3 linked regions of the Caenorhabditis elegans genome follow. The main gene of each other region encodes a partner of the protein of the gene in region 3 in a complex. Each region holds a gene or a part of one and is shown on either strand. Other genes may lie near its edges. The genes, in order: osm-12, bbs-9 and bbs-4.

Region 1 (6,543 bases), 2.6 Mb from region 3:
ACGGGTGGAAGAGGATCAGCAGCTGCTTATGGATCCGTTAGACCGTCCGTTTGGAGAAGGTGCTGAGCGGAGAACTGAAGAAGCAGATGGTAAGTTTCGAATTCGAAAATTTGAAACGAAAAATTCCCCAAGTTTGCCAAATTGCCCCTGATTCCGAATATCTATCTGAAATTTTTTTTTAATTCCAAAAATTCCGAAAAATCATTAAAAAACTCCTTAAAAAACTCCAAAAAAATTCCTAAAATTTTTTAAAATTTCAATTCCAAAAAAAATCCTTTAAAAAATTCAAAAAAAGTCCAAAAAAAATCCGAAACAAATTTCTAAAAAATATCCAAAAATCTTTAAAAAATTCCGAAAAAAATTCCAAAAAATCCTTTTAAAAAATGTTTTAAAAATTCCAAAAAATCCTTTAAAAAAATTCCACAAAAATTCTTTTAAAAATATTCCAAAAAATCCTTTTAAAAATTCCAAAAAAGCCCAAAAAAATTCCTTAAAAAACTCAAAAAAAAAAATTTCAAAAAAAAAATCCGAAAACCCCTTTTCAAAAAATTCCTAAAATTTCCTAAAAAAAATTAAGAAAATCAAAAAAATATTCCGAAAAATATCCAAAGACTCTTTTAAAAAATTCCGAAAAAATCATTTAAAAAATTCCGAAAAATCCTTTAAAAATCCAAAAAATTCGGAAAAAAAACCAATAAATTCCGAAAAAATTTCGAGAAATCCTTTAAAAAATTCCTTATTTTTTGTATTTTTTAATACAAAAAATTCCAAAAAATCCTTTAAAAAGCTCTAAAAAATCCGACAAAAGTCCGAAAAATCCTTTAAAAAATTCCTTATTTTTTGTATTTTTTAATACAAAAAATTCCAAAAAATCCTTTAAAAAGCTCTAAAAAATCCGACAAAAGTCCGAAAAATCCTTTAAAAAATTCCTTATTTTTTGTATTTTTTAATACAAAAAATTCCAAAAAATCCTTTAAAAAGCTCTAAAAAATCCGACAAAAGTCCGAAAAATCCTTTAAAAAATTCCTTATTTTTTGTATTTTTTAATACAAAAAATTCCAAAAAATCCTTCAAAAATCGTAAAGAATTCCGAAAGGTACTTTAAAAAATTTCAAAAAAATATTCCAAAAAATATTCCAAATATCCTTAAAAATTCCGAAAAATCCTTTTAAAAAAATTTCCAAAAATCCTTTAAAAATTCCGTTTTGTCGATTTACGAGATTTCAGGGGATTGTTTTCGAATTTTTTAACATAAATATTCGGAATCAGGCGCAAATTTAGAGTAATTTAAAAGTATTTCCCTGAAAAGTTCAAAAATATTCTTTTTTTTCAGTAACAACTCCTGCTGCTCCGGCTCAAGAATCTACAGAAAGTTCCGCCGCTCAAAAACGTGAATTCCTGCCTGAACACGACGAGGATGAAGCCCAGGATCCGAAAAGACCACGTCTTGAATGATTTTTTTTTCTAAAATTAATATTTGATTTTCTAAAAATGATCTCCCTTTTTTTTTAAACGATTATATATTGTTAACCCGTTCCATTTTATTGAAAAAGTTTGACTTTTTTATTCAATAAATTTTTGTTTTTTTTTTAAAATTAGATCAACCCCTGAAATTTGCAGTTTGCAGGAATTAAAAAAGAGGTGATTTTGCAAGTGTGTGTCGATTTACGACAGAATTTTGTACTACACGTGGACAAGCGCGAAAGATTTTTTCGTCGGCAAATTGCCGATTTGTCGGAAATTTTCGATTCCCGCGAATTGCCGATTTGCCAGAAATTTTCAATTCCGGCAGTTTGCAGATTTGCCGGATCATTACAGTTCCGGCAAATTCCCGTTTTGCCGGAAGTTTTCAATTCCGGCAATTTGCCAATTTGCCAGAAATTTTCAATTCCGGCAAATTGCCGATTTGCCGGAAATTTTCATTATCGGAAAATTGCCGATTTGCCGGAAATTTTTGATTCCAGCGAATTGCCGTTTTGCCGATTTGCCGTAAATGTTCAATTCCGACAATTTGCCGATTTGTCGGAAGTTTTCAATTCCGGCAATTTGCCAATTTGCCGGAAGTTTTCAATTCCGGCAGTTTGCTGATTAGCCAGAAATTTTCAATTCCGGCAACTTGCCAATTTGCTGGAAATTTTCAATTCCGGCAAATTGCGTATTTGCCGGAAATTTTCATTTTCGGCAAATTGCCGATTTGCCGCAAATTTGCTGATTTGCCAGGAATTTTCAATTCCGGCAATTTGCCGATTTGCCGGAAATTTTCATTTTCGGAAAATTGCCGACTTGCCGGAAATTTTTGATTCCAGCGAATTGCCGTTTTGCCGATTTGCCGTAAATGTTCAATTCCGACAATTTGCCGATTTGTCGGAAATTTTCGATTCCCGCGAATTGCCGATTTGCCAGAAATTTTCAATTCTGGCAGTTTGCAGATTTGCCGGATCATTACAGTTCCGGCAAATTCCCGTTTTGCCAGAAATTTTCAATTCCGGCAGTTTGCAGATTTGCCGGAAATTTTCAATTCCTGTTTTTTTAAATTATTTTTTGAATTTTGGTGGTCACCAAGTTTGTAGTATAGCTTTTAGATGACATACGTCTCATGTGAAATTAAAAAAAAAAACGGCAAATTCGGCAAATTTGCCCAGCTTGGTAATTTCGGCAAATTTGCCGCAGTGCACTGTTTTTTAGACTCGGTCATTATGGCCCATTTCCTAAGCAAATACCTACTACAATCTTTTTCAAACACCTCGCTTCTCACCCGTCACCCCAATGAGCCACCTGACCCCTCTCCAGCTCATGTTGCCATAGTAACTCGACAACACCAGCGACTCGGCGGTTCCTAGTTCTCCATTTATTGAAATCTTGGATTTTCTGCTCACATTTCTCTCAGCTTCCACTGTAAAAAATGCAAAATTATTCGAGAACTGATTTCGCTCAAGTCGGCACTACTAATCGGGGTTGCATGCGTGTTATTCCGTCGGATAAGGAGAAAGAACACGATTTGGTAAGGGTTTTTTTAAATACTTTAAGCATGTATCAGATATATACACGGGCTTCTAGCCTTCCTCTTTGAATTTTTCGCGCTCCATTGACAATCACCCCCGCCGCACAACGTGTACTCCACACGGACAAATACATATAGTTTTACAATCGAGCCGCGACGCGACACGCAACGCGCCGTAAATCTACCCCAGATATGGCCTGGCTTAGTTAGGCAAACTCTTCCATTTAAATTTATGAGGGAGGCCAGAGATACGTGAAAGTTAAAAAAAACCAATTTGATGTTTGCAGATAGTAGTCGGTGGACAGAACGGAAGCTTAATCTGTTTATCGAGAAAATCGAATGACACCACGGTGAGTAAATTTTTTATGATTTTTTCCAGACAGTTTCAGATTTTTCTGGTGGAGTACACATGCTATGTAGTTTTCTAAAACAGGCGTGGGAAACAAATGCCGTTCGGCAAATCGGCAAATTGCCGGTTTGCCGATTTGCCGGATATCAATTTCCCGGAAGATTTTAGAGGGATAAGACGGAAACACTTAAAATTGTGCCTTTTTTAAAGTTTTTTCGGTTTTCTTTAGACATTTTCATATGTAGAATTTGCTTATTTTTCAAAATAGATGTAGAAACATTCATAGGATGCGTACAATTTTGCCCTTTACAACTGAAATTCTGAAATTTCCAAAAAAGAAAAAATCGGCAAGTCGGCAAATTGCCGGTATATCGGTTCTACCCAGTTTCTACCCATTGTCGCACATTTTCGTACTTCTAGCAATTTTTGTACTTTTTACGAAAATATTCGGGAAATGCACGAAGCGATTTGCCGAGATATGCCGAACTTGCCGGAAATTTGAAAAATGGCAATTTGCCGACTTTGCTGTTTGCCAAAAAAGCTCAATTTTGGCTACTTGTCGATTTGCCGGAACTTTTAAATTCCGAAACTTTGCCCGTTTGAAGAGATGCTGGGAATTTTCAATTCCGGCAAATTTCCGAATTTCCGATTTTTGCCGGATTTTAATTTAAAAATTTCCAGATAATATTCAAAACTCAACCAGGATACCCTGTTCAATCGTTGGCTCTCGGTGGCCCGGCATCGTCGAAAAAAAAGGATAAAATCTTTGTCGCATCACAAAATACGGTTCGAGGAGTCAATCGAAAAGGAAAAACATTTTTTTCGATGGAAACTAATATGGCTGAAGTTGCGAATCGAATGTTCGTACGTGGATTGGATGTGGTTTTGACTGGACGAAAAAGTTACAGTAGATATCATGACACGGTGGATTCGAATGTAGGTTTTTGCACCACCCGTTGGTCATAACCAGATTTTGTTTCTGTTGATGAAAAATAACATTATTTTTTTTTGAATTTTTTAAAACAATATTTCGGAAATTCGAATAATAGAAAAACGAAAATGTTTCAACATTTTCCAACACCCTTTTTGGTGTGTAGCAAATTTTAACGTTTGCCGTGCTCGCCAAGTTCGGCAAATTTGGCAAATTTGCCGCGCACCTCTGGTGCACATCGCTAAACTAACTGTGGTTAAGCTCTTTACCATTCAAATTTGAGTTTAATATTTAACTTAAAAAAGAAAAATTGATCTCCAAGCATTGAACAACTGCCCTTTTTTTAGAATATAATAGTTTCGAATATTTCCAGAAAAATAATTTTTTTCTGCCCAAATTTTTGCCCAAAAGATGACAGAAAAATGAAAATGGGCAAAAATAAAAAGTTGTCTAAATTTGTTTAAAAAAAGTAATTTATATATGGAGAATTCAGAAAATCTAGGTTTAACCCGTCAAAAATCATTAGAAAGTGGCAAAAATGGACAATTTACGGCAAAAAACGCAATTTTGAAACTAATCTAAAATGGTTAATTTTGTAGTTAGAGGACTCAAAATTGATCTCCGAACGCTAAAAAATTGCCCTTTTTCAGAATATAGTGGTTTTGTACATTTCCAGAAAAATCTTTTTTTTTGCCCAAATTTTTGCCCAAAAGATGGCAGAAAAATGAAAATGGGCAAAAATAAAAAGTTGTCTAAATTTGTTGAAAACGGGTAATTCATATACGTAGAATTCAGAAAAACTAGGTTCAACCCATCAAAAACTAATAAAAAGTGGCAAAAATGACAATTTATGGCAAAAAATGACAATTTTGAAAGTCCTCTAAAATGGTTATTTTTGTAGTTAGAGGACTCAAAATTGATGCCAGAACCCTAAAAATTTGCCCTTTTCCTATTTCTAATAATTTCCAAAAAAATATTTTTTTGCCCGAAAAAAATTGGGCAGTCATTAGATGGCAGAAAAATGAAAATGGGCAAAAATAAAAAGTTGTCTAAATTAGTTGAACACGGGTAATTCGTATATGGAGAATTCAGAAAATCTAGGTTTAACACATCAAAAACCATGAGAATGTGGCAAAAATGGACAATTTATGGCAAAAATTCACAATTTTGAAACTGTTCTAAAATGGCCAATTTTGTAGTAAGAGAGAACTCAAAATTGATCTACGAACAAATTCCAGAGTTATCTTTGCACGGAAGACATTCATGATGTTGTAAGCCTTGTATTCGAAGAAGCATGGGGGAGTCGAGAATACACTTCAATTCTCGCATGTGGTAACTCAACTCTTCAAATCATTGAAGGCAACAACTTCGCCTATGATGTCCGACTCGATAGTGTTCCATTCACAGTTTCCCTTTTTATGGGCGATGGTGGTCATACGAAGCTTTTGGTTCTTTACGGAACAAAAACTGGCAGGCTGGGACTTGTTAGTGTACCTCAAGGCGGTGGAAAGATCCTATGGGAAATTGATACAACGTCGGGAGCTTGTGTCACAACAATTGTGTGCTTCAATGTGACTGGCGGACAATTTCCGGATATTATTGTGGGAAAAGAAGATGGATTGATTGAGATTTACGTTATTGATGAAACTGATCATGCACATTTATTCGGAACTTTTGTAGGCTTTTGTTGAAGTTGCAAAATTCTTATGAAAAAAAAGGTGTTTTCAGTCTTGTGACGAGTCGATAACTGGAATATCGTGCGGTCATGTATCTTCAAAATCTGAGATTGATATTATTATTTGCACATTTACAGGTTTGTAACTGCTCAGTTTTCGAATACAGTTAATTCGCAAGATAATGCCTCAGTGAACACAATCAACCAGGGAGGGGGTGGGCGGCAAACTTTTTTTCGGCAAAAAAACCGGCAATTTGCCAATTTGCCAAACTTGCCGGAAAATAAGTTTGCCGGTTATCAACCCTACCACTCCCACTTAGCCCAACTCAATATCTCGCAAATACAACAACTCATTTTCCAAAACTACAGTAATCCTACAATACCATTACAGTCCCCCATATGTACTTCCACAGTATGAACACAGTACTACAGTACCCCTACAGTACTCCTAGAGCACTCCTACAGTACCCCTACAATACCCCTTCCACTAACCCCAACTAATACATATCTTTTCAAACGACGTCTTGTATTTTTCCAAAACTACATCTCCTTTATAGTATTCTTACAGCACCTCCACAGTACTCTTA
Region 2 (9,258 bases), on a different chromosome or scaffold from region 3:
TTCTAAACAACTCCAATTCCGCTGCCGAAGTTGCCTACTTATTCTCTAGTTTATTTCTCATTTTGCATTAAAAACACTAACCAGCACTCATTTTCCATTGATTCTCTGAAGTGTTCGGGATGAATGACGTTTATCACTGAAAATCTTCACTAAAAATTTAAATAATTGAGAAAATTGAGCAAAGTTTGAACATAACGGTTAAAACACGAACATAACATAATTGGAAAAGATTATCGATCGCATGAGTGGTTCAGAGTGGGAAGAGGTGACAATGGTTTGAAAATGAGAATAATGGGAAGAGAAAATCAATCATAATGCGCAGACAGGGTATGTTCATTCCTAATGCAGTAAATTTTTTGTTTTTTTCCTAAAACAGAATCCCACCTTGAGGGGTTTTTAAAAATAAGTGTAAATAAAATTTTCAGAACCAATATTGAAAAGGTATTTCTATTTTTAAATTTATTTTGTGGGCTGAAACAAAAATTGTACAATGTACAACAAAATTGTTTAAAATTTTTGATTCTGCATGCACTAGAGGCACTGAATATCACGACATTTCGAATTTCAGTTTTTATTCGCCAATTTTTCTTGTTTCCTCGAAAAAACCAAATTAATCTTTAAAAAATTGGTATTTCTTTCCTAGCGTTTCGGCATATTGCATCTCATTATGATCTCTTCTTGTATCTTTTTCAAATGCCACCACCTGGTGATAGACTCTTTCGAGAATCTCTCCCCGTTCGCATCCTTACACAAAAACTTATGCGGCTCATTCTTCAGTGGTCCGATTGGTGCATTCGGCGAACACTGATTGCTCCCTCTGTGTGCCTTTGTAATAAAAAACTTTTCGTTGTTAAAAAGAAACGTTTTTTGTCGTTATCTCGAGCTTGGCAAAAAAAGTTAGATTGCTTTTTTTCCGGCCACAATACTTGTTTTTTTAGAAATGGTTACATCTTCAACACCCAGACGTGGGTTCCACATACCGACCACATTAAATCACGAATCCCTTATGGTAATTTTTAAATCGGAATTTTTCTCATACTTTATAATTTATTTTTAGGCTCAAAACTCGCCAATATCGATGAGATATTCAGTATCATGTGGTGGTGGGAAGGGAATTGGAACTACTGGAACATATAGCGGAGCTGGGGGACAAGTTAGCGATAGTCACCCATCAGTTCTCGATTTGAACAGCGAAAACCGAGTAATGGACCGAAAAACGGTAAGAAAAGTTTTTTTCAATCTTTCTATGCATGAAATTGTGTTTAGGTTCACTGGAATATGCTTCTCCTCCTCTTCATGTCAGTTTGCTCGGCATTATTCACCGTTGTTGCTCTACAATTCCACTTTTCAAATGCCGAACGATTTCTTCGCACCGCAAAATCACCGGCATCGGCATATCGAGGAGTAATCGATGTCATTCGGGATGTCATCGCCTCATTCGACGTGGCAATCGTGATTCTGTCGATTCTGGCATTCTTTGTGTCTGCTCTTCAATTACTATTCCTGATGAAGATAGTAAAACAGACACAACAACCGGATGATATTGATGTGTTAGTGCTTTTCAAAAGTTTCACATTAAATAGCTTGAACATTTTAACATTACAGGGCACTTCGATACATCAAATCAACCAGCTTTTTAAGAATTGTGGCATTCTCGTTTTGGTTCGCATCAATAATAGTCTTCGTGATCGGTGAGTTTCTTAAATACTATTCATACGCGATTATAAAAATTCAAAAGAATGAATTCGCTAGAATACAAGAAACAACTCTGCAATTCTAATATTTTCAGTGCTAATGCTCACAGTCTCAATTGACCCATCGCGAAGTTTGGCCTCAAAATGTGTATCGATTACTTTAGGATCTTCCGCCGTCTTTCTTGCCACTTGCTTCGCCGTGAAAACCCTCTATTTCTGGGCAAATCATTCTTGTGGGCACGTCTACCGCGAGGATTGTTACAATTACCTAAGCACACTGGTCTGAATGTATTATTTTTATAGCTTGTTATTCTACCCACTTCTATATTGAGCTTTTTCATCACGCAAAGTTTCTCAAAATTGACACCAATGATCTGATTTATTTCATACACATAAGACTAATAATGAATTCTTATTGAAATCCTGATTAATGGATCTTTTTTAGTTCATTACTAATACAAGGCTTATGTTCATGAATTCGAGGGAAAACTAAAAGAAAACAGAACAAAAATGACGGAGCAGACATAAATCAAGATGCGGATAAATAGTAGTAACATACATAAGAGATATCTATTTTGTGTTTTGCAATATTTATAAATATTGTTTTTTTTTAATTTTAGTAAAAAAGTTTGAGAAGCAAGTGAGAAAGTATATTTTCAGAAGAGTAAAAAAAAACAAAGATTTGCAAGAGAAAAAAACGTTTTCAAAATTGTGTTCTGAATGCCTTTGGACGCGTCGCGGTGGCGCTGCGTGTTCTTCCAGCATGGCATTTTTTCCAAAGAAGAAACACGTTTGCATTTGTTCGTCGCCCATTTTTATTCGTACATTCCGTACAAATTTTATCAGTTTCTGATAGATTTAATATTGTACAATGAGAATTTCCTATTTTTATTTGGCATTTCGCAAGTTAAATCATTTAAAAACAGCTTTTTGTAGAGAAAAATACTGAAAACTACAGTATACTCAATTTTTTGTGTTCTTCAAATTAAATTTGTTTCATTTATTTTTATTATTTTCAGGTGTTAGCTAGCAAAAATGGTTGAGCTTGGAGGAAAAGGGCCATACTCGACATCGTTCGATAACTCTGTCTTCATCATCCCCGCAATCGTTATTGTAGCCGTTTTCGGTGAGTATATTAAAACTAAAAATAACAACGAATCTCGCAATAATTTACAATCTTCAATAGTCAAATCTTTTTGGTCGGGCTATTTGTTAAGACCAACATAATTTTTGAGTACTGTAGGTCTAACATGTTTTCCTTTTTTTGAAGATAGGCTAAGTTCCATTAAAAAAACATGCTTCTACCGTATTCAAATTGATAAAAACAATTCACACATCCATCAAGCAGTTGATAGAAACATAATGTTTTCAGCCTACGCCGTTATCAAGCTCCGTGACACCACTTTGGCTAAGGATAACAAAAGCACGGCTCGTCAACGCCGTGAGGAGAAGAAGAAGGCCAAGTAAATGTACAAAAACAGGACTACATCCAAAGTTCACATTCCAAAGACAACTCGACATACAATTTAACAATTTATACTTCGATTTCCATTTGGGTTTTTTTGTATTTATTTAAAAGTTTTATTTGATATTAATAACGTTTTCTAATGTAAAAATAAAATTGATGAACGGATCTTGTTTCTCCATTCTCTACACGCTGCTCCATATGGTTTCCATGACAACACGCGCACAGCAGTGAGCAGGTGAACATCGACTCTATTGCTTACTCTAGGGCACGCTTCAGTCAAAAATGTCGCTTTTTCGGCTCGTCGAATGGGTTTCACAAACAATTCCTAATACGTCAACTATATTGAACGCTTCATTTTTTCAAGATAGAGGTACTTTTTTCAAGATGTCAAGGTCTCCAGTTCGATGTCATGGTTGTGCAATTTTTTTTGTTGAAAAAAAAAACGAATCTCAATTTTGCTCCACTGAGTATATAGTTTTCGACGTTAAAATAGTAACATCAGTAGGATTTTTCCAAAATGCACTCAAAATTAATTTTTGGTCAAAAATTTGGCACATTGCCAAATTATTGAAAAGTTGGTTTTTCTTTAATTTAGAGAATTCTTAAATATTCCAAGCTTGAAAATGTTTGAATATAAATAATTAAAACAAATAGAATGATGAACTTGTGGAACATTTTTAATTTTGGTCGGTTTCCAAAATCATGATAGGTGAAAACTGACCATTCTTTTTTTGACTAAATATAAAATTTTTCAAATATTTGGAAAATTTTCACAATGATATTTGGTCATCTTATTACTATCGAAAGGCTCTAAACGATTCCCCCGTCATTATTCCAGAGCAACTTGTTATTGGAGGAGAAAACGGTCAAATTACGATCTCAGATCCAGGATTCAGGGATACCAATGTGACTTTTAAAAGTCGAAAGATTGCAAAAAATGTGGTAATTTCAGGCGCATGTACTGTGTACAACTGAAACTAAATATGCTATACTCCAAATGGCATCTGATAACTTTCTACCTTCAATGAATAATATTCTTGCCGTCTTATCACCAACAAAGTTAACCTATTACAAAGTTCATTTTGGTAAGTTATGTATCTATTCAGCTGTTATTTATCATACAGAGTGGCTCATAATTATGACAAACAGATGTGGTATCATAAAAACTGTTTTTTTGCAAACTAGGTCAACTCCAAGATATTCCTGATCCAACATTACATTAATAATTGAATACATCTTTCTAATTCGTTAATATAAAACACGTTTTGATAAATCGAACTATGAAATCTATTTTGACAGGCTCCATATTTTTGAGTCTTTTCATTTTGAAACCGATAGTTGTTGATACATGTTTATTTAACTTCAAAGAGAGATAAATACAATATTTGATTCGGATTGTCTTAATAAATACGGGTCATCCTGTAATATACAAAAAATAATAGGCTCAAGTACGAAACAAGGCTGTGCGGCTGGTAAAAAAATTCGGCTGTCGGCTGATGCCGACAGCCGACAGCCGCACAGCCCTGGTACGAAATGGTTAAAATTTCAGCAAGTCCTGATGAAACCCTCGCATCACTTGATGAGATATTCTCTCATTCTTTTTCAACATCTGCATGGAATATGTGTGTAATACCAATTGAAGAATCAACTCCACAGATATTAGTGCAATCAATTGATTGTAAATTATCTTTGTTTCAAGGAGATCAATGTGTTTTTTCAATGGTTCCATTGAGAGCTCTTCAACCAGGACCAATCGGTTACTGTCAGACTACACAAACTCTTTTTGTTGCAAATAATGGATTCTTAGCTGCTATCAAATTCAGTCTTATGTCAAGTGGATCGCAGAAAAAGATTAATGTAAGCTGTGGACTATTGAATATTTTTCGAATGTCCAATATCATCGGGAAACTAAAAAGTATTGAGTTAATTACAAATAATAAACCCAAGCTGTCGAATTTTGATAACGCTGAACATTTTTTCAAATATGCTGACTTTACACTGACAGTAAATTTGAGTCTTCTTTTTTTCAGTATGACTGGTCTTTTAATCTGGGTGATACTGCAATACAAATGAAAGTAACCGAAGGATCTAAACCAACAACCATTGTATTATGCCGCCGACACGTGTCTGCATTTAATGCAACTGGATCAGTTGTCTGGCAGATTCGTTTAGAAGCTGTTGGAATGGCAATGTGTCTTTATAGATCACTTCTGATTAGTAAGATTTCATATATTTTCAAACTTTTATTAATGTTTACTCTCAATCAGATAACACTCAATTCAATCGTTTAATAGTTTCAACATCTGACGATACATTGCTAATATTTCAAGATAATAAACTTGTATGGAACTGTAATGCTCAAATGTCACCAGTTGCACTATTAGTTTGCTCTTATAAGTTAGTTTTTGACATTTCTAGAATTAAAATAAGAATTTTAATATTTCAGCAAATCCTATGAGAATACCATTACAATGATGGCACCAGACGGTAAAGTTGTGGTTGGATATCTTGGAACCGAGCCAAATTTATATAGGGTGAGATTTTTTTTTGTATAGATGTGATATAGGGCCATTTATAATTTAAAATTATCAAGTATCAGGATAAATCATTTTTAGCTTTCGAAAATTATAGTTTTGGCAAAATGCCAAATTTTTGGAATATAAGAATCATACTTAAACTTTTTTTTTAATGTTTTACTTTCATTTTTGACTGTTTAAGAGTGGTCTTTAACAATTCTCACACTGGCGCTGCACAATCTTTTCTAATATGTATTCAGCTTTATCTTCGTTCAAATATTAATAGAATTAGACTTAAGATATAATATTCGAAATTAGTGTCAACTAGAAGTAATTTTAACAGATACAGTAGACCTATGGTAATTGAAACAAATCGGTCACTATTTTTATCGCAAAAAAATTACAGTTACCCGAGGACAAAGTGATAGTAAATTACGCGGAACGAATGGAAGAATATAAGAGAATGGAGCAAAAAATCAAGGAATCAGATGCAGCCGGTGGAGCTATCAAAAGAAAAGAAGGAATTCAAATGAAGCTGAGCATTGGAGAAATTGGTAAACGAACTGTAAGTTTGTTCATTGGAACATTATTCAAATATTAATTTAGATTGAGCCAAATGCTGCAAGCAATGCACCATACTGCAACCTTATTGTAGAATTCTCAGAAGTTCAAAATGTTTCTAAACTTCACATCAATATTCTATCGGAATGTGCTTCTCCATCCAAACAAGTAATTCTTAATGTGGGGACTTCAAGTAAGTTTTTATCATAAACTTTCGGTCTGGAACAAATTCGTTTATAACAATGTTCTACATTGAACTCTTGTTCCTAAGAACAAAAACAGTTATGGTAAATTTAAAAATTGAAAAAAAGTATTGGAAACGTTGATAGTGGAAAAATCTAAAAACATATAAAGTTGTAATTTTTGTTGCATAAATTTAATACTTTTCGAATCTACAGAAAGCGCAACTCAATTCAACATTTATTGAAAAAATTATTTTGTTCTGAAACTCTAATAATCCATTTACCTTTCAGAGTCCACTGCATCTATTGAAATTCCATTTTACGTCGGATCCAAAAAATCTCCAACTAGCAATAAAGTCACTATTGCAGCACATTGCGCATTCACCCAATGTAATTTCAGATTACTAACCGAATTAAAATAGTTCAATAACTTTATTTTTAGTAACAGTCACCAAATCAATCGATTTGCCATTCAAAGTATTGTTTGAGGAATCACAAATTGATAGAAATGCAAAATATAAAGTGACAATTGATACAGCTGGATCGGTTATGCCACTGAATAAATTATTTTCTGGTGAGCTATTTTTCCTTCATTCTGACAAAAGGCATAACTATTGTAATATAGAAAATTAATTAACATGTGCCAAGCAACTAACTTTTTTTGGAATACTTGTAGGACAAACGTTTTCAAAGTTATTTAAAATTTTTGAAGTGTTTATTAATGATATTAACGATGCTAGTATATAATGGACTATTATGAGTGATTTTCCAAAAATACCAGCGCTAACTAACGATAGTTTTGAGTGTTTAAGGTGCGATGTTTATAGAACTCAAATCTTAACAATGATTTTTAGAGTTCGAATCTGAAAATCCACAAGCAATTGGATTTTCTCTTCATGGCTCTGATAAGACAGTTTCAGTGTTTGCAGCCAACAAGTCAAGTAAGTTTCTTCCATTTCAATAAAGCATAGACAGGTATGCCTACGTACTTACCTTAAGCTTGCCTGCCCGAAGCCTATTTTATTAAATTTTTGGAATTTGGAATTTGTTCGATATTCCTTGTGCCCAGATGGAAAGCGTTAATTTGAAACTTCGAAGTACGAGGAGAATGAAATATTTCCAGATCGTTACCGTATTCAATCAGAACATATTTCATTATTACAAATAACATCAAGGGAATTGGTAAAACGAATTGCTGAATCAGCGCCGGGAATTGAAATTGGAGGAGTTATTCCATTTGAGTACATGAGAGAAACATTGGATGAAATTCAAGAGGTATTAAAGTTTTTTTAAGTAGAAGAAAAAATAATATCCTTCAAAAAATATTACAGCTTCAAACGAAGAAAAAGGAAGATTCAAAGAAAATTGACTGTCGAACAAAAGAAGTTCGAGCAATTGAAGCATTATCTTTGAATTCGTGTAAAACTGGAAATATGGGAAATTTGCCTTCTTTGGATGCACTGTTTGATAAATCATATAGAGAAGTAATGGAAATCGTGAATAATTTGAAATTAATTTATGGGAGTTTTGCAGCTTCTCGATGCAATGGATAGTTACAATAGTTTAACTGCAAAAATTGAAAATCAAAAGGCTTCATTGAGTAAGTAGTAAGTAGGTTGTTCTTAGTTGTCTCACGAGAACTTTTCAGACTCATTATTCCAATTGGCAGCAGATTTGTCAAAACTTTCAAAAGTGGATACTATTTTAAATGGATCTTTCTGGGCAAATACTCAACAGGTAACTTTTTTATATTTAGTTTAAGTTTAATAAAGAAACCGACAAAACTAACCAACAAATGTGCAGAGCTTATCCTGCTTAAAAATTATATAAACATTGTAAACTCAAAATAAATGATAAATGCCGAGAAAATCAAAAAAAGACTGTAACGAAAATAACTTTATTCAAAGAACGAGTATATTAAAGTCGATTAAAATTGTTACAAAGCAGAACCCAGAATGCCACAGTGGTATGGTGTAAACTCTTTTGAGCAATAGATGTCTAATCGCGCCGAGACCTGGTACCGTACTTTTTCGTCAAATCTTTTTTACAACTGTATAATAACTAATTTTTTATTAATTAAAGTCTCTACGAGATCGCCTTCGATGGGCTGTGAAAACAGATCGTGGAAATGAAATGACAATGATTGAGAAACTATGTGAACACTCGCCAAAGGAATTACCAAAAATTAGAGAAGAAGAGGAAGAGGAAGAGCAACAAGTGACAGCTTAATTAATTTAAAGAAGAACATATTTAAGTAATTTAATGAAGATTTCTATTTTTATAGTTTTTCTATTAAACATGAATTCATTTTCATGTCGACTTCAAGCTCTACATTTCGCTGCGAGACCCGCCTTTTTGAATGAAATTTCAAAAGCTTTTGTAAGTTTGTGAATATTTTTATACATTTTAGAATTCAATAACATCTGAAAATGTTTATTGATAACAACGAGAACAACAACAGCAACAAATCAAAATTTAAAAACAAACAAAAATTAATCCATGAGATCGAAATCGTCTCGAGTATTATTATAATCCATGACGTGTTTCTTGATTTTCGAAGCTTTCGTCCATGTGATCATATCTTCAGACGATCGTGTAACCATAAATGCTGGATCGGTAACCAGTTTCGTTCCGATTCGAACGTGTCCCTGCTCCACGAGATCTGACGCAGTTTTGACTGATTCACACATTCCAATATTTCTCATCACGACTGGAAGACGACGACGAGCGAATGATGCTCCAGTCACCTAAAAATGTTTTATTTTGTGTAATTAAAATCGAAACAGGACAAAAACCTTTCCAATTCTTTCCAACGTATCACTAGTGGGCACAAGTCC
Region 3 (7,058 bases):
TTACCTTCGTTGGATTTTCCCTGAAATGTACACACGAATGGAAGTTTCTGACCGACTGGAACAGTATGCCAAAGACCTCCAATTGACATTTTGTCGATTGCAACTCCATAATATCGAGATTCTGGAGCCCACATGTCATTGAATTCGATTTCCCCACCATTTTCCCAAGCAATGTTACATTTCAGATTCGATGCTCCAACCCAGAACTTTGTCGAGTTGGCAACTTCTAGATCGGCGTTGGCTAAAAGTTTAGATTTTATTTTAAATATGTACAAAATGGAAAGTGTCACCTGAGTACAAGGAAGAGTCATCCTTATTGATCTTATCAGCTAATTGACCTCCCAAAGAAACACAATACCTTCTTGCTGCTTGAAAACTTTTTGGTGTGTTGTAGAGTTTAAAGCATGCGTTCAAGCTAGAAAAGTTAATTTATTTCATTTGTTGTTTAGATGGTTAATATTTTTCTGAGATTTTTTTTGAAATTTACATTTAAAATGGACAATTTATTCATCTAATTTATGTTGAACATTTCCGGCAAATCGGCAAACCGGCAAATTGCCGATTTGCCGGAAAAACGTCTTACATAAGTCTTAATTGATTAAATTTCTGGATTGTAAAGTTTAATCGGCAACAAATCAATAAAAAAATACATATTATCTTTTCACCAAAGATGAAATCGTTGTCATTTAAATAAAAATTGATATTCAAATTGAACTTACCTAGTAGAAGCCAATGGATTGACAGTACCAATCTTACACTCATAAAGTTCCGTTCGATTTTGAGCAAAGACAAGAATTGGCTGGAATAATAGTAAGAACCATAACGTGGTTCGTCTGTACATTTTGTGAATTTTCTCAAATAATGAAAAGTTCGCCTACTAGTTGAGGATGGCGGTGATGCTGAAACAGTGTGTGCAGAAGCTTTCCGTATATCACGTTTTATCGTTCATCCATACGGTAGGCGTCGATAAAATGAGAGCGTGTTTTATTGGAGATTCTCGCAAAATCTATCAAACCCGTCACCCCGTCACCCCGCTTTTTCAAGCCCCCAACACCGATTTTTTGTAGAGGCGGTTGTGTTACAAATAAAGGTTGGAGATCGGCAAAAAATATTTATGAATGTGGAACAGGAAAAATATTGAATTTTGGTATTGAACTTATGAAGAGTTCGGGAGACATAGATAAAAGTTAGTGTCGATTTCATTTCTGAAACAACTAATGTTAGTGGCATTCATTAAGTTGTTGGCAACATTTTGTCAAAGTTTGGCAGACTATCACACACTGAGATATAACCATTCAAAGTGGATCAATTGGGTCAATAGAGAAAACACTACTTTTTGCATAGTTTAACATTCTACGATATTTACTTGTTTAAATGTATTTTTGATGCTGGTAGTAGTTGCATACTTTTCTGTAATAAGCAGATTTCCAGTCGTGAGCAAACTTGTATTAATAATTGTGAACATGAAAACCTTTTTGTTGGAAAGGATGATGTGATCTCCCAACTTCAAAAACTCAATCAGAATCGTGATGCCACCTTTCAGAAAATATTTATACATAGATAGGTTAAATCAATGTACGCCAATCACTTTTTATGTTAATTTAAATGTAAATAACATAAATCCAATACGTTTTTAATTTTATTTTATCTATTATCGAGATGTTTCTGCAAAGGTTATTCATTAAAAAAATGTCCAGGTTTGCATGGTGGGGGACGGTTTGTTATTGTTCCGCAGATTGATCAGGCTGCTTCAACACACTTTCCAAAAGATTTGCAGTTTCCTTATTGTTCTGCAATCAAATTGTTTGCTTCGTGACTGCAGATGTTCATGGTCTCACCGCGCTACACTTGACCCCAGATGCTTGAAGATCTTTATATAGTTTCAATGCATTTGATGCTGCAGTGACGTCTTTCATACGATATTCGAAGATCGCGTAGTTTAAGATCTAGAAGTTATGATGGTGTTTTCGTATGCACATTGTTGCCACAATACCCATCCCATACAATTGCGGATATTTTTACTGGAACTCAGCACAAACAGAAATGCTCACCGTTGATGGATTTTTCTTTAGTTCAATTGATTTTTTGTATGCCAATCGTGCATTCTTATCATCATTCATATGTGATAGAATCACTGCCATCGCACCGACAGCTTTCGCGTTTTGTGGATAGAGCTCTGTGCACAATTTTATATAATGAAGTGCCGAGCAATGTAGATTCATGATATCATGAAGAACTCCCAAATTATAACTGATCCTGAATTAAATTGTATTATTATTACGTATAATTCAAGCCATTCCTTCTCGTACTTATAGTTTAAGGGATTGATAAAAGCGGCTTTTTTCAAAGCAGAATGAGAAGCAGCTGGTTTATTTCTGGCCAGAAGACCGATACCAATGTTGTTCCAGAGGCAACCGTTATAGTCACTCACATCTGCCGCAACACTGAAAATTTTCATTTTTATTTCAAATTGGATATGAAGCAAAAACATTACCGATATTTATTCAAAGCAACGTCATGATCAGAGTGATTTTGCATTATGGATCCAATTGTTAGAATAGCCTGAACTTTTCAATTTTAGAATTACATTTTATGGACGTTTTTCTTTTTATTTCATGACTGTGAAATTTTTGATACGTTTGTGACGAGATACAAATAACAGTTGAAAATTCATCTGACCTGACTATTGGCTGGATCATAAGCCAAACAATTTCCAAGTTGAACAAATCCTTCTTGTACTTGTCCAGTTCTGAGATAAATCAACCCAAGTAGATTCATGACTTCTGTATTATCTGGTTGTAATTTTAATGATGATTTATAGGCAGCAATTGCACCCGAAGTGTCCCCAAGTTCTTCACAAAGTCGACCCAGAAAGCAAATTAACGTGGCATCCTTGGCTATATCAGGTCTGAATTCAGAAGATTCGGTATTTGAAAAAAACGTATTGTTTACTTCATTAGAATTGTCCTTGCAGATTCTACAGGATTGAACGTTTTCCCTTGCACCTTTTCAGCAGGAAAATGATAAATTGCTCGAGCGAGCCAATACCAAACTTTTGGATTGTCTTTCATTACTTCACTTGCTTTTGTTAATTGTTCAACAGCAATTTGATGGCGACCAAGTAGGAAATTACATCTTCCAGTTTCATAAAAATATCTGTAATAAATAGATAATTATTTGAAATTTTCCTATATTTAAAGGTATTCCTTTACTGGTACAAGAAAGAAGTTGGCACCAACGAGTTTTGGCAAGTTTTGGCAACTCTCTTGTTGCATCTGACATTGAAATTGACATTTTATATATTATTTGTGAAGTTTTTTCAATTAAATTATATTAATTTACTGTAAAAAATGACTGAAAATTAGAATTTGTATAGTTTGTTCGCAAAAACTTGAAACTATGCACTAAATTTTTTACTAAAAATCCTGGAAATTTCATAAACGTATTTTTCATTATCAAAATAATAATTATGTGGAATATAGAACTTGTAGCTAGTACTGTGACTGAAATTGTGGCGAGACCCACTCAAAAAACAGCGTGTGCCTTTAATCGAATTCTTACGAAATTACAATAGTTTTTCAACATTATTGTTAACAATAAATCACAGTAAATCGGTGACATGAAACCCTGAAAAGAATTTCATCGATTTTTAATAGTTTTTAGTTTTCCAACAAATAAATTTGTTTTCAACGGAAAACTATAAAAATCGATGCGAATTATAATCGATATATCGAACGCGGCAACGAAAGTTCGAAGCTACAGTACTCTTTAAAGGCGCACACTTTTTTGGAAACAATAAACAAAAACTTGTCGTGTCGAGACCGGGTACCGTATTTTTGGCGCAAAAATCGTTAAATGAAGCGCACCTTTAAGGCAAAGTTTCCTTTTTTCACTAATTTACCATATACGGCCATATTCACCTTTTATTTTTGCCAGAAAGCTCATAAGCTTTATGAAAGCATTCCATCGCTTCTTCAAGTTCTCCTTCATTTCTTGCAATTAGTCCACGAACATGAAAAGCAGCTTCATTTCTTTCAAGATATTTGCTTTGAATTTCTCCAATTATTGATTTGCACTCAATATAGTCGCCTTGGGCAAAATAATGATACATTAGACCATTTAATGAGTTACAATCGAGAATTTCCACTCGTTTTGGAGCAGACGGAGCACGTTCTGGTGGAGGTGGTGGAACATCAAGGGATGTTGGTTCAGGTACTACTTCCTGATGAACAGAATTATAAACGAAAAAATGTTTCAAATTATTTCATTAACTCACTTCTGGATTGTCCTGTTCATTTGGAATAACGTCAGTTCCAATAATTTCATCTTGATTACTCGCTTCCATTTTTAATAAGCTATGCACCCTCAATAACTGCCTACGTCTTTCTCCTTGCCGTTGCCATGGAAACTCGCGGACGCCACATGCTATAAAAGGTCTCGAGAAAAAAATTTATTGTTAAAGTAGAAATCATGTTACAGTATAAGAAAAATGAAAGTAATTTATGAAATGCAAGCCGATACAAACTTTTCAAAGTTTTCAACGTAAGGTGCGAGAGCTCCATGCTTGTACGCCAGGAATTTTCGATTCTTCGAATCCTCGTTCTCGTCGTTTCCTCGTTCAGCCAAAAGACTGCTCAACTCTTCCACGACATGACTGAAAGTTTTTGGATAATACTATTAGAGAGACGACTTTTTACTTACTCAATTCGAGGACATTTGCTTACATCGAACTCTTCAATTTTACCGACATTCAGAGGAACTGCAACGTTTCCGGTCTTTGGATGAATGCAGAATGGGGATTTGAGCAAGTGATTTGTTCCTGTAAAATGTGACCGTTTAGTACGAAATCAACGCAGTTTCATCGAAAAATTAGGAAAATAATTATTTTTTGTTCAGAAAGTTTCAATTTTTTGAAATCTGTAGGGTGAGAAATTCTAAGAAAAAAACTATTTTCGAAATAAAGGAAGTTTTCAGTATTTATCGTAATTTCCCAAGATTTTGACATGCCTTCTTAAAGGAGCACGGATTTATTCAGATGGGTCTCGGTGCGCAAAAAGTAATGGTTGTATTTTTTTTTCGCGCCGAGGCCCATCTGAATAAATCTGTGCACTTTCAAGAATGCATGTCGAAATTTTTTGAAATTATACAGTTTCTTTTTGATTTTGAAACTATTTTTAAATATGTAAAAAACATTTCACCTGTAGATACATTAACATCAAGACGTGGATAGCATCGTTGAAGAACAAAGTAGAGAAGATAATTTCGGTCGCGACCTTGCATTTTCTGAAAATTGATTTATCTATTTTCCGACTGTTATCTCAAAGCTTCCACTTACAAAATCGAGAAGACCGTCCTTCGGAGAAAGCGATTTGCGATAGTCGTCATCAAAAAGCCCACGAATCATGTTCCAGCGTTCTTGTGGAGTTTTGTAAGTCTCGGAAAGGCTACGCAAGTCATCTCTGCCTACTTCTGACATAAACTTGTACTCTGTGATAAAATCTTCCTTATCCAGCCATCCCTGGTCATAGATCATCTTCTCGAAAACTCCATCTTTCAATGCAACGTTAAACGCGTCACGCACAATCGGCGGAACTTTCGTCATTTTGGCCCGACCTTCAGTCACCTCACATTGGCCATTTTTCTGTAAAATGAATTTTTTATTCTAATTTGGACAAAGAAGTTCTCGAACCTTGAACAAATTGAGTCTGGTCGCGATTGCAGATCTTTGATAATTGTTCAACATCCTCGCTTTTTTGTCACCGACCCAACAATGTACTCCACGTCTACCAGAGAAGACCCACATTCGTGCTTTGAAATCGAACATATCTTCCAGTTGGAAATCCAAGATTTTAACAGCGAGAACCATGAATTTCCAGCATTTTGGGCAGACGGTGGCATCTCTGAAAAATTAGAAAATCGAAAAGTGGGTTACAGATCATCTTAATAATGCCCTCAAATAACTATCTTTGCTAAATATATCAATATAAAAATAGAGATACGCGGAAACGGGATTTTCGTAAACTCTTACTTGCAACAATTACGAACTGGATCGTAGTCGGTCAAATCGATATCAAAAACCAATTCTCGTTCCACAGCTTGATAATCTGTATGTCTCTTGTTATTAATTGGCTCGTGATTGTAGACAGCTCCAATATCAAGTTTTTCCGGGTTAGTACTTGAAAGTGCTTTGAAAAATGCGTGTTCGTCATTGTAACTACGATATCTGATATGAACGTCATCTGCCAGAATGAATGCGAATTCTCGGCGGTTGAAATAGTCTCCGTTATCTGCAAATTTCAAATTTCGTTAAGAAAATCGAAATTCGAAACTCACTTTGTCCGTAGCGGAGCCATTTTGTGAATGGTTTGACTGGGAAGAAGTTTTTGTAGTATATTGGCAAATCTTGTGGAAGTCTGATGGAGTTATAAGACATTTCTGAAAAGAAAAAAAACTATAAATATTTGGTTCAATTGAAATTCAAGCTAAAAAAAGATGAAATCCTCAAGAAATAGGCACATATGTAGTGCGGTAAACTGGTTTAAATTCCAATTTCGCGGCGTGTACAACAGGGCGCGTTTGCATTATTTTATTTTTCTCTAAAAGACCATTTTCTCTCCATTTCTATACTCATTTTCAGTGTACAAATGAATTCAATAAAACATTCTACGGAAATTCCATCGACCAGTAAGCTGTCAGATAAGCAAATAATTAATTAATATAAAATAATTGCAGGTACCCAATCACTAGTATTCGAATTCACGAATTTGGACGATTTGTACGGATTTTTGAATATTCTCCAGTGTCGTGAAGAATATTCGTTTGCTCAAATACGTGCCTTCTATAATATTCCCGTCGATAAGGTAACTAATTTATCTTCTATTGCCAGAAGTTATTATATTTAAGCTTCAGAAACTTCTTGTCAACATCCAAGTGAAAAATCCGGCACAAAATCTCGATTATGCTTGGGAAAGACGTTTGAAACACCATTTCCGATACATGCTTGATCTCGAAAAGCTCATGTGGAACTTGTCTACTCTAGGTGGCGCTTATTCAGCTAT

The links.
Region 1: bbs-4 (region 3) and osm-12 share a complex: the UniProt entries of both Caenorhabditis elegans proteins name them as parts of the BBSome complex.
Region 2: bbs-4 (region 3) and bbs-9 share a complex: the UniProt entries of both Caenorhabditis elegans proteins name them as parts of the BBSome complex.

Annotation. Positions count from the first base shown.
Region 1 is NC_003281.10:12,198,810-12,205,352, reverse strand, and holds the start of osm-12 (BBSome complex member bbs-7), read left to right. Parts: upstream 1-2,815; 5' UTR 2,816-2,902; coding exon 2,903-3,001; intron 3,002-3,288; coding exon 3,289-3,351; intron 3,352-4,031; coding exon 4,032-4,286; intron 4,287-5,519; coding exon 5,520-5,957; intron 5,958-6,009; coding exon 6,010-6,094; intron 6,095-6,543. Other genes in the region: Y75B8A.13 (titin), read left to right, coding at 1-89, 1,334-1,455. UniProt on the Caenorhabditis elegans protein: Component of the BBSome complex. The BBSome complex is thought to function as a coat complex required for sorting of specific membrane proteins to the primary cilia.
Region 2 is NC_003279.8:6,917,142-6,926,399, reverse strand, and holds bbs-9 (Protein pthb1 homolog), read left to right. Parts: upstream 1-3,426; 5' UTR 3,427-3,444; coding exon 3,445-3,532; intron 3,533-4,000; coding exon 4,001-4,068; intron 4,069-4,114; coding exon 4,115-4,247; intron 4,248-4,711; coding exon 4,712-5,019; intron 5,020-5,192; coding exon 5,193-5,379; intron 5,380-5,429; coding exon 5,430-5,559; intron 5,560-5,608; coding exon 5,609-5,696; intron 5,697-6,084; coding exon 6,085-6,243; intron 6,244-6,284; coding exon 6,285-6,432; intron 6,433-6,712; coding exon 6,713-6,811; intron 6,812-6,863; coding exon 6,864-6,995; intron 6,996-7,275; coding exon 7,276-7,362; intron 7,363-7,544; coding exon 7,545-7,696; intron 7,697-7,752; coding exon 7,753-7,905; intron 7,906-7,954; coding exon 7,955-8,021; intron 8,022-8,069; coding exon 8,070-8,158; intron 8,159-8,503; coding exon 8,504-8,650; 3' UTR 8,651-8,700; downstream 8,701-9,258. Other genes in the region: hrpc-1 (RRM domain-containing protein), read right to left, coding at 82-91; C48B6.9 (uncharacterized protein), read left to right, coding at 941-1,009, 1,058-1,219, 1,267-1,550, 1,606-1,691, 1,790-1,980; C48B6.10 (Small integral membrane protein 15), read left to right, coding at 2,730-2,820, 3,067-3,161; C48B6.2 (U3 small nucleolar ribonucleoprotein imp3), read right to left, coding at 8,914-9,168, 9,217-9,258. UniProt on the Caenorhabditis elegans protein: Component of the BBSome complex. The BBSome complex is thought to function as a coat complex required for sorting of specific membrane proteins to the primary cilia.
Region 3 is NC_003281.10:9,607,847-9,614,904, forward strand, and holds bbs-4 (BBSome complex member bbs-4), read right to left. Parts: upstream 4,352-7,058; 5' UTR 4,346-4,351; coding exon 4,277-4,345; intron 4,223-4,276; coding exon 3,921-4,222; intron 3,157-3,920; coding exon 2,953-3,156; intron 2,909-2,952; coding exon 2,680-2,908; intron 2,563-2,679; coding exon 2,495-2,562; intron 2,445-2,494; coding exon 2,310-2,444; intron 2,257-2,309; coding exon 2,052-2,256; intron 1,947-2,051; coding exon 1,839-1,946; intron 1,791-1,838; coding exon 1,722-1,790; 3' UTR 1,544-1,721; downstream 1-1,543. Other genes in the region: clec-161 (C-type lectin domain-containing protein 161), read right to left, coding at 5-241, 291-415, 720-841; pri-1 (DNA primase small subunit), read right to left, coding at 4,501-4,654, 4,702-4,819, 5,199-5,283, 5,336-5,641, 5,690-5,900, 6,029-6,287, 6,334-6,433; F58A4.6 (DUF4807 domain-containing protein), read left to right, coding at 6,645-6,684, 6,733-6,860, 6,910-7,058. UniProt on the Caenorhabditis elegans protein: Component of the BBSome complex. The BBSome complex is thought to function as a coat complex required for sorting of specific membrane proteins to the primary cilia.